2 linked regions of the Arabidopsis thaliana genome follow. The protein of the gene in region 2 interacts with the protein of the main gene of each other region in a pairwise test. Each region holds a gene or a part of one and is shown on either strand. Other genes may lie near its edges.

Region 1 (5,057 bases), on a different chromosome or scaffold from region 2:
ACAAAAATGTGTAAGCCCATCATTTAAAAACTTGATTTTTAATGGAGATTTACCCAGAACGATTAACGGAAACTAAAATCGAGAAGGAAATGGAGAACATTAAGAAAACAAGTCGGAGAAAATTACTCGTTTCCCGGCGTATTTCTGGATGTGAATGGGAAGGATATAAGGTTTCATGAATCTGAGAAGGTCCTTGATGCCCATTTCCGATTTCTTATCTTCTTCTTTTTAGGGTTCTTGCGAATTTGTCTTCTTTATTTTTCTTTTTATAGCCTTTTTTGTTTTGTTTTTCCAGTCTAGAGTAAAAAAGCATAAGTAAAAAAAAAAACTTAGCGCGAAAAGGCAATGGCGGGAGTGATTAAAATACGACAGATGCCACATCAGCAGTAATAGCGGCTGTTCGACTTTACCAGTCTATGTGGCGAAATTTCGTTGGTCGAAGGAAGCAGCAGTAATAGCGGCAGTTCATGTCCATTTCCAAAGATAGTATGTTCATGTCTATAACCTTCTTAGTTCGTTGCAAATCAGTAGTTTATTACATGTTAAAAATCATTTGGTTCATCTGTCATATTGGATAAAGTTACAAATTTTAGAGAATTCCGCTATTCCACCATTTCGCTATATTATTAATGGGAATCATTTGCCACAAAATGGGAGAAGTAACTCTAAAAACCAAGATCTCGAACGATAAGATAAAGAAGCAAAAACCTAGATTGACAAGAAAACAAACATCCTTCCAAAAACCTCAAGGTACTTCATGAGTTGTCGATAAAAACATAAGTGATAGATAAAACCAACAAGCAGATAGCAGAGAGCAACGACAGCACAAGTGATGAGATTACTAGTAACGACCAATACCCCAAACTCTAATGACTCCATCGGTGTAACCACTGAAGAGGGTGCTTCCATCAGCGCTCCAGTTAAGGCTTGTGCAGTAAATAACCTGACCCAATCAACAAACAAATTGAATTCAGTCACTTTCCATGGTTATTTACATGTACTATTACACAACAAACAAAGGGCTATGTATCAGGAGAAAAATATTACTACTACTATGATCCTAACAAGAAATGTCAGGTAATCAATGAGTATGGACACACAAAACCATTAAAAGACAACCTTAATTGACAATTTAGGCTCAAACTGGGGCGAAAACACAATTATGGTAATTGCTATATATGGAAGATTAAAACAGATAAAGAAGATAGAGAGCCTAAGTCTCCAAACGGAATGGTAATTCAAGCAAACATAATTGCAGAATCTGAAACTGAAACCAAGTGTAGAAGACCATTTACATATATCATCGTGTAGCATTTGAATAGAATAATCCATGTAAGAAACTTTTTACGAACTTTCACATTTTCAATAACAGACCAACATTACGAATTATGATATACTCAGCTATGGGTAATACTTAATCACAAGTCATAATCAACATCATAACCAACTACAGAAAATTCTTCCTATACAAAAGCTGAAAACTTGTAATCGATTAAAAGCATATGATTGAACCATCATGGGAAAATATTTGTGTACCTTCCTCTTGGTGGCAGCAGGACCACTGTTGTCAGCCTTTTCAGCCTCAGCCTTGAGATCAACCTTCAAATCCTCAACAATGCTCTTGCTCTCAAGGTCCCAAATCTTAATACCATGTTCAGTTGCAGCACAGAGCCAGTACCTGTTGGGACTGAAGCAAAGAGCATGGATCACAGAGTTAGCTTCAAGAGAGTAAAGCTTCTTCCCCTCAGCCAAATCCCACAGCAAAACAACACCGTCTTTGCCTCCACTTGCACAAAGAGAACCATCAGGTGATACAGCCACAGTGCTCACGTAACCGGTGTGACCAGCAAGAGTCGATCTGAGCTTGCAGTTCGAAAGGTTCCACACTTTCACGGTCTTGTCCCACGAAGCAGATACAATCGTCGGCTGAAGCGTGTTAGGGCTGAATCTGACGCAGCTAACCCAATCACGGTGTCCCTCACCACCTTCTGAAATGGTGTACTTGCACTCACCAAGAGTGTTCCACAGCTTGATCGTACGGTCACGAGATGCAGAGACGATCTGACGGTTGTCGAGTGAGAAGGCGACGGAGAGCACGTCCTTGGTGTGTCCAACGAATCTACGAGTGGAGACACCAGCAGCAAGATCCCAAAGACGGAGCTCGCCGTCCCAGCTGCCGGAAAGCGCGAATTGTCCATCGGAGGAGAGAACAACATCCTCAACGAAGTGAGAGTGACCAGTGAGACGCCTCTGAGCTACACCGTAGGCTTTGTCGTCCTTGGTGAGTTTCCACAAAATGATGGATTTGTCGCGGGAAGCTGAGACGATGATGTCTGCGTTATCGATTGGGGTGGCGATTGCCGTCACCATGTCAGTGTGTGCACGCATGGTGCCCTTCAAAACGAGTCCTTCCGCCATTTTCGGTGTCTGGAGATGCCTCTGAAACTAGGGTTTTCGTTTTCTCGGGGGAGGCGGAAATACAAAGAAGAAGGGCGTGAAAAACACAAGAAGCTATTTATATGATAGAAACTAAAAATGGATTAGGGTTCATTTAATATGGGCTCATATTATATATTTATTACTGGGTCTTATGTTAATGGGCTTATCTCAGCCCATATTTGGTGGAAGCGTTCGTAATTTGTTTCCATGTGTAAGAAAGCGTGTTCTCCAATTGGTATGTTCTAAAAGCCAAAAACGCATCCCACTACAGACCTTATTATATGGGCTATGAGTTGTTTAGTTCGGATTTGGAGAGACTGTTTTTGAGAATGATTTCTCGTGTTTTGGTGGATGCTATAAGGAATCCTGTTTTATGGCCAAGACTTGAATCTACGTTCGTGACATAATGGGCACGCTAATTCGAACAAAAGCGTCCCTATTTTTATCGTCATTCAGCGTTTTCATTTTCTGAGTTTGCTTTGATTCGAACAAACAATATATACGTGGAATGAATCATGAATGGCGCACAAATATACAACTTTACATTTATCTTACGTACATGTATATACTCATTTATCGTGGTCATTATTTTTGTATAGGTCAAATTTCTAACAACTCTTTTGTGAAAAAAGCAAAATTTCTTATATGTGGTACAGAGATTGACTAATTCGAGATTACATCAAATATAGTTATCAATCTGGATTGGTTAGATGTAATGTAGTACGTACATCTGCCGAAATAGTATAACATCGTATTGAAATAGCAGAAAATCTTATATAATTGCTGTTTTGGATGTAAATATTATGGATTATAGGAAAGCAATAAAACTTGCTAAAGGGAGAGAAATCTACAAAAAAAACCAGTTTGACTTATATATATACCGTTGTTTTACACTTTAAAAACATTTCCAGCTGTATTCAAAAATATAGTTTTGCAATCTGGATGCATCAAATAAGCCAATCCGAATTTAATAAGTTTGTTCAACAATGATAATTTTCTTCGGCTAAACTTATTTAAAAAGTTCAAACTAGATCTGTTGAGTATTAAATTTATTCGAACAGTGTGAGAGAGATATAGAGGAATACTGTAAATTAATTGATTCACTTAAATAAAAGCGGATCATATCTTTATACAATGGTGGATATGAATTGAAAAGTATTAACACGGTATATACTTGTAGACACTTAAACGACTTTATTGAGTCGAAAAAGTAATTTAGAGAAGTATAAACTCTAAATGTCTTCAAACATTAGAATTAACAATGATACATAACTGAAAAGTACGAAACTAATGGAAATACAAAGTACAAACCATAAAAATTGCATATATGTCACAAGAAAATAAAATAAAAAATCCTACTCAAGATCCATCATCCATGTTTATACACCTGCAACAGACAACACAAAAAATGAAAAGTCATTCTTAAAAGAACTAAAGATAGAGAGAGAGAGAGATAGGGATGGAGAGATGAAGAGCTCCCTTCAATCCAAAGAAGAGTGAAGCCATTAAAGGGGTAAGTGAAAGCTCCTGAGATATGGCATCCATAAAAAAAACCTTATCATCAATTATATTGAATTTGATAAGGCTTATGGGATCCATAGCTTAGCAGCTTTACTTCACCCTGCTAAACCCTCCATTGAACTTCAAGGAGCTCTTCCTCTTCTTCTTCCTTTGTTTTTCTATATAATCGTGTGGATCTGCTTTGACTAACTCATATATTCATACAATCAAAAAACTCTTGACCTTCTTTTAATTGGCAGTTACATGCATCTAACCTAAACCTATGCTTTAAAATATGAACAGCATTAGAGATCCAAGCAAGAAAAAGAGAGACATAATGTTGAATACTTGAGTTAATACAAAACCATTGAAAACTTATATATGGTTCGAAACAGGAGACAATTTGACTCAGAAAGAACCAATGGAAGGATAAAACTTGAAATGAAAAAGCTACTAGTATTAACCATAATATATATAGTGAAAAATCAAAATTATCAGATCTATTATGAAAGATAAAACATAGAAAAGAAGAATCCTGAAAAGAAAAAAAGGGAGGAGGAGAACAAAAGTGAAAAACCATTGAAACTTGAATGGCTTTTTAAAGACAAAAATCTGTAGCCCTAATGAGAAAGAAAGAGGGAGTCAAAGATGGTATTCATTTCGAGGACTTTTCTTAAACCCATTAATAGTTAGGATTATTGATTCATTTCACAGATTTTTTTACTTTTGTGATTTAATAGCTATTGATTCATTTCACAGATTTTTTGTTGTGATATTTAATGAAAAGCTATTAAATCACATATTTACAGCAATTGTCACTTCATATATATGATTTCATAAACCACTTATTTACTAGCAATTGTCACTTTCATTACTACTCAAGAACTTACTTTTTTCTAGTTATTTTTCTAATTCACTCTTTTTAGTCTGTTAATTTAATTAATTTATTTATTTAAATTGTTAATCATGAAACAAATCTTGCCAATCTTTTTCTAACCTACTTTAGATTGGAAAAATTCAATTGAATAAGAATATAATAAGAGAGTGGACACGCAACTAATGAATAGACGAGTCTGATAACGATTTTTGCTATTAAAGTAACATTTATTCATATGGAA
Region 2 (6,056 bases):
AATCTCGGATTCTAAAATAAACTGCGGGATTTGTGTGGTCTTGCCGCAACCTGTTTCTCCAGAGATAACAATAACCTGCAATACGAAAATTTATGTGGGTAATCGGAACTAATACAAAACCAAGACGACCGTCAAGTTGATATTCGATTTTCTATTTGACACAGATGTCACACGACTGAGCTCAAGCATGCTTCCAGTTATCTTCTGTGCAGACCTGATTTTGTGAAATAGCTGTCAATACTGAATGCCTTTGCTTGAAAGCAGGGAGACTTGTACGAGAATCCAACATTCTTTGGCCTTCTACGGATGCCTAATCAATGGAACACATCAAAACTAAATGGACGATGAAAAAGCATAGATGAAGAATATATTAAGGACCTAATATAAACAGAACCTGCCAATATTGTTGTCGATCACGCAGCTGCAAACTCCTTTGCCAAAGAATTTTGGTGGCAGAGATGGGTAGTGGTTGCTCAGAAAACCATTCATCAGTACTGCTAATGCTACTAGTTCTTGAGACGGAATTGGCAGGGACTCTATCTATCCTATTAGAGCTTTTACTGAGGTATTCTGTGAGGTAAGCTTCAACTCTTTGAAGAAGGTCAGTATGCAAATTCACCTGTAAATATTTTTGTATATATCTGCTCTTTAAAGAAAAACAAGCCGTCTTGCGTTAAGTGTAAGAGAAGAGAGTGAGGAGCAGCGGATAATACCTCCCTCTGTGGCTTCTTGTCATCTAAATCAAACCTATAGTTGGGGAGTGGGATCTTACTGAAGACAACAACCTTAGCATATGCATGACTGCAAAAAAGAAACAGAAATGGTTGTACTAGTGAGAAAGAAGAAAGAAAGGAGCAGCATGATTGATGTACCTATACAATCCCAGGGTTGTAGCCAGAGCAGCAAGTTTATCAAAATCCCGTCTATCTTTTTTCTCCCTGGAAATAACTTCTTGCTTTAAAGAATCTTTCAAAAGCATTGAAAATCTCTTATTCCAATCATCCAAGTCGGCACAGTGAAAGGTACCCTCCTGCTGCAAATTGATATGGTTCCAGTAGAAAGATAAAGGGATTTTTATAAAATGCTACTCGAGAGCAAATCGAAAACTAGAATCGCCATTGTAAGAGCATCAATCAAAAAGCTCAGAGATGCATGAAAAAAAGATGAAGAAGAAGTTAACCGGTTGGCGATCCTCGGAAACGCGGTCATCATAAGCGGAGACATAGCGAACTGGAGAGAGAGGAACAGGATTGAAGCCGTAATCGGAACCAAGGCGCTGGTGAGGCGGAACGTACAGCGAAGGAGGAAGACGATTCGTCATCGGAGCCAAATTCAAAACTCTAAACTCTCTCTACTGTAAGTCAAAAGTAAACTATAAAGAGGGAGAGAGATCTCCGCTGCTTCTTCTAACACTGAACTTGCAACTATGCCAATTTTACCTAATCGCCCTCCAAAAATTTTGTAAACTTAAAAGAAGAATTACACAATTTGGTTTTGCAGTCAAACAGTAATCAGTCTTTCTGAGAGGAAATATAGATTTAAGAGGATGTTTTCACGTTGCTCACATACATATATGATATGATCGTGACTCGTGACTGTCTTTCTTTCTCAGAGACAAAACAAAAAAGGGAAAAAAAAACAAAAGACAACAATGGTCCTTAATCCTTATTACGATCTCTGAAATTAACAAATCAGTAGGTGTAACCCTTGACAAACATTCCTTTCTTGGCATCCTCGTTCTCTCCCTCGGCTGAGTATTTGCCGAGCTGGGCCAGTGAGTTGGCCTTTGCCCTCACCAACAGTGCCTTCTGCGAGGCCTCAATCTTCTCCGGCTTGCCTTGCCATGTTCTGAGCACGGAGTTCTGCAGGGCACGTGCGTATGAGAAGGACACATGCCATGGGTTTGGGCTCTGGTTCATGGCGTTCAGGTTCAGTGTGGCCTCTGCCTCTGATTGTCCTCCTGACAGAAACATGATCCCTGGGACAGCCGGAGGAACCCTCCTTTTCAGCATGGTGAGCGTGAAATCTGCAACGGTCTCGGGAGAGGCCTTGTTCTTGTGCTCAGCGCCTGGGGTGACCATGCTCGGCTTCAACAGAATGCCCTCAAACATGACGTTGTTCTGTGCCAAGTAGAAGAACACCTCTGACCACACTTTCTCTGCCACCTCCAGAGTCCTCTCTATTGGGTGGTCCCCGTCCAGAAGGATCTCTGGCTCCACAATGGGGACAAGACCATTATCCTGAGAGATGGCTGCATAGCGAGCCAGCCCCCACGCAGCTTCCTTCACAGCCAGTGCTGAAGGACCGCAGGGAACACTCACCACTGTCCTCCTAGACAAACACACACAAACATCAAAACTAGGAAGAGCATTTTCACATCAAACCAAAGAGTTAATACCATATGTAAGATAACATGGTGAAATATATGACATACCACTTGGCAAAACGAGCGCCTTGCTTGTAGTACTCAGCAGAGCGTGAGGCCAATCCATCCAAGCCTTGGCACCAAGACTCTTCGTTGGAACCGGCTAGGGGAGACAAGCCCTACGCGGTGGATTGCATTGTCAACACTTCACTCAACACACATAAAAACTCAACTACTTATGATGATGATGACAGAATAAATGGATAAAAAATACCTTGTCAACTTTGATGCCAGGGACGATGTTGGCATCGCGCAAGCAATCGACAAAGGTCTTACCGTCCTTGGTGGACTGGTAAAGAGTCTCCTCGAAGAGAATGGAACCAGAGATGTAATCGCCGAGGCCAGGAGTGGTAAGCAGAAGTTGCCTGTAGGCCTGACGGTTGTCCTCGGTGTTATCCAAGCCGATAGAAGCAAGCCTCTTCCCACAGGTTGCATTGGACTCATCGATCGCCAAGATACCTCTCCCAGGGGATGCAATGCTTTTCTATTACGCAATAATCAGAGAATCTCACTCTACGTTTGACTTTGAGAATTACGGAAACGAATCCAAACTAATAAAGCATCAAAGAGAGAGAGAGGATAAGGAGGATACTCACGGCGGTTTTAACAAGCTCGTCGGAGTAAGCACCGGCGCGGATCGCGAAGGAGACTCGAGGAGGAGGAGAAGAAGAAGCAGAGGTGTGAGCAAAGGAGCGTTGGCCGATCCATGGAGAAGAGAGGGTGTTAGGCTTAACGAAGCTAGCAGACGCCATAGGTAGTACAAGGAAGGTACAAAAGTGATGGTGATCAATCTCTCGGGGACTCCGCGGGACAGAGACAGAGAGAGATCTGGGATTTGGAGGAGAGTGTTAAAGCCAAAGGTTTTGTTTACTACTATTAGTAGTCGTCTACTTTGGCATCACCTACTCCCACCACCAAAAAGCCTCCTTCTCTTTACCATTTTATTCCCCAATTTACCGTAAATGACGCTTTTAACCTTGAGGGAGATACTGGTAATTTTTTCTAGTAGTTCATCAGTCTCTCAACAACAAGAATCTGAGAATAACCAAAACTCTACCGTTTCGTCTACCCAAACTATCCTTCTCCTACCATTGCCTCTTCGTCTAACTCAATCGTTTTTCTTAATTAATCAAATTACATGACCTATCACCTCTTCAAGGAGTGTGATGAAAGAGAATGGGCCGGATATTCCCTTTTTTATCTGTTGGGCCACAATAGTAAACAACTTATATAACAGGCAAACTCTTTTACGTAATTGATTTTTGGGCCCAATAGTAATAGGGCTTAGTTTCAGATAAACAATAAGAGCCCACGACAGCTTTGGTGTTCTTGGGTCTTTTTCTTTTTTTTTTTCCTTTTTATTAAGGCAACCATCCAATAAGTCCAAATATTGGTGTTACTCGTAACAGGCGAGGAAGGTGTAAACAAGAAGAGAGAAAATGCAAGTTCCGAGAAACGTTATATATATGCGACATGAGAAAGTGGCAACTTTTTCTTTCTTGTATCTTACACTACTTTTTTGTATTTTTAAAGTATCTTTGATTTGATAACAGTTTTCTAAAACTGTTGGCCACAATTTAAATGCATATTCATATGTATGTTCAAATTTACAGCAACTCAGTTTGACCCCACAAAAAAAGGGAAAAACAACAACAAAATTCAAGACTATATGACTAAATATGTTCAAGTGCTTCAATTATATATTAGGTACAAGAATATGAATATAATGCCAATCTTATCTTAATCAGAGTAGGAACTAGTAATTTTCATATTTTAAGACAAGTTTGAAAGTTGTTTTAATTAAACATGCGTAAAGTTCCATTCTCTGCTCTCAGATGAATGGCATATCGATCATAATTCACCTAGTACTTCTTCTAGAGTGTTCTACGCTGCCTCTACGTATTAGAATATAGTATATGTAAAAGGTGTTGGTGCAGATCTTTGATTAACACTTTGGTCAGTCACATATCTAATGATTTTTAAACGATAAACCCCAAAACGCGTCTTCATACAGTTCACATGCATATGTCACCCAGAAGAATTGACTCTCAGATCTTTCTAGGTGTTTGTGTTCACACTTCGCCACGCTCTCTCTGTTAGAAACGATTTAAATATACAAACAAAGCTAGTCAGTGTTTCCCATTCGAAAAAAGAGAAAAGACAAAAGAGAGTGTGTTATTTGTCTTGTAATGAAACCTATTGAGTATGGTTGACTGGTTGGTGCGTAGGGAGAAGCAGAAGGTGATAGGACCACGTTGTTGTTTATTTGGCAATTCTTTTACAAGCCCTTGGTCCTGTTTTCTCCATCTTCTCTACTTCATTTGTCATTTTCATTGTTTACTTATTAAATTTACATCCATGTTAACTATTTTCATTTAAACAACAACGTACGTGGACCTATCGACTGATCATCCCTTGGTCGACAAACAATGATGGATCGGAACTTGATTTGGTTTTCTTGAGTTATGTGAAAAAGCATCGCATTATCAATTTTAACAACTTTTCTATAGCTCTTAATTCTGTCTAGCTAATAGACCTATAGTTTCTAAAACAAATACTATAGTCTTGCAAGCCGCATGCTACCTAATGCAGTATATATTTGGATAATTTCAAATTGTCTTTATTATTTCCTCATATTTTTATTTAATTATTTAGATAATTTTTATTTATTGTTTTATGAATTTTCTAAAATTTTGGATTTATTATAATTAAGACTTTTGAACTTAAAATTGTATTCAGTTAATTGATTAATAAAATTAAGCTTTTACCTTTTCAGAGAAGAGTATTCTCTAATTCCTTGCTTTCGGTAGATCTTGAAAGATTTCAACGGTTATAAAAAGATGTAGGATTCGGTATTCGAAGAGAATCAACGAATTCCTTACGTTCTCTCGTTTCTGTTATTCTGAGGAATCAACAGATCCAAAAAATTCTAGTTTTCTGGTATTCCGAGGAATCAACGGATGTCTAGTTCTATCCATTAAAACTTCCGCTACTTCAGTTGGTATCAAAGCTAGAACTAGAGATTCGTTGATACACTTAACAAACAAACAAAAAAAACTTAAAATCAAAATTTGACACACACACCAAAATGAGTTACCTTTTACTCATTCATGTTCATACTATATAAAATATATTTTCGTCGAAACAATCACTCCTCCTAAAATATTTTAAATTTTTAATGCAAAAAATATTAGTTGTGTTTTGTTTATTTTATAATAAATGATTTAATCATATAAACAACGAGGATCGATAAGACACTCGCATGCTATTTTTACCAGGATTACATTAGAATGAGAGTCACAACCACATAATGAAGACGATCGTCTGCTAGCTATGTGACGAGAGATGGTAAGTGGTTTCAGATTTTATGATGTAAAGTGGAAGGAGTGGTCAAATAATTAGGTCAAAGAGAGTCGAGGTGGTTGTCACTGGTTGGCTATATCGATGACTAAACCACACACCTACACCTTCAATTTCTATTTTAATTATGTTTTCTGAATAACTTAATACTATCTTATATGATCGTTAGTAACAAATATTTTTTTAAAAAAAATTTATGTACATTCATAGGTAGCACGAAGTGAACAAATACTTGAATTTTCTTGCGTCAATATAGAACTAAGATCATACA

Evidence for each region. The genes of interacting proteins can lie anywhere in the genome.
Region 1: the proteins of PDE345 (region 2) and ATARCA interact in a two-hybrid assay, tested with the Arabidopsis thaliana proteins (2 studies listed by BioGRID, with this or other methods).

The regions. Positions count from the first base shown.
Region 1 is NC_003070.9:6,219,686-6,224,742, reverse strand, and holds ATARCA (Transducin/WD40 repeat-like superfamily protein), read right to left. Parts: upstream 2,543-5,057; 5' UTR 2,419-2,542; coding exon 1,537-2,418; intron 944-1,536; coding exon 842-943; 3' UTR 501-841; downstream 1-500. Other genes in the region: AT1G18090 (5'-3' exonuclease family protein), read right to left, coding at 127-204. UniProt on the Arabidopsis thaliana protein: Major component of the RACK1 regulatory proteins that play a role in multiple signal transduction pathways. Involved in multiple hormone responses and developmental processes.
Region 2 is NC_003071.7:93,315-99,370, forward strand, and holds PDE345 (Aldolase superfamily protein), read right to left. Parts: upstream 3,550-6,056; 5' UTR 3,178-3,549; coding exon 3,022-3,177; intron 2,910-3,021; coding exon 2,640-2,909; intron 2,545-2,639; coding exon 2,435-2,544; intron 2,332-2,434; coding exon 1,692-2,331; 3' UTR 1,413-1,691; downstream 1-1,412. Other genes in the region: AT2G01130 (DEA(D/H)-box RNA helicase family protein), read right to left, coding at 1-75, 215-310, 395-619, 714-801, 873-1,033, 1,181-1,321. UniProt on the Arabidopsis thaliana protein: Plays a key role in glycolysis and gluconeogenesis.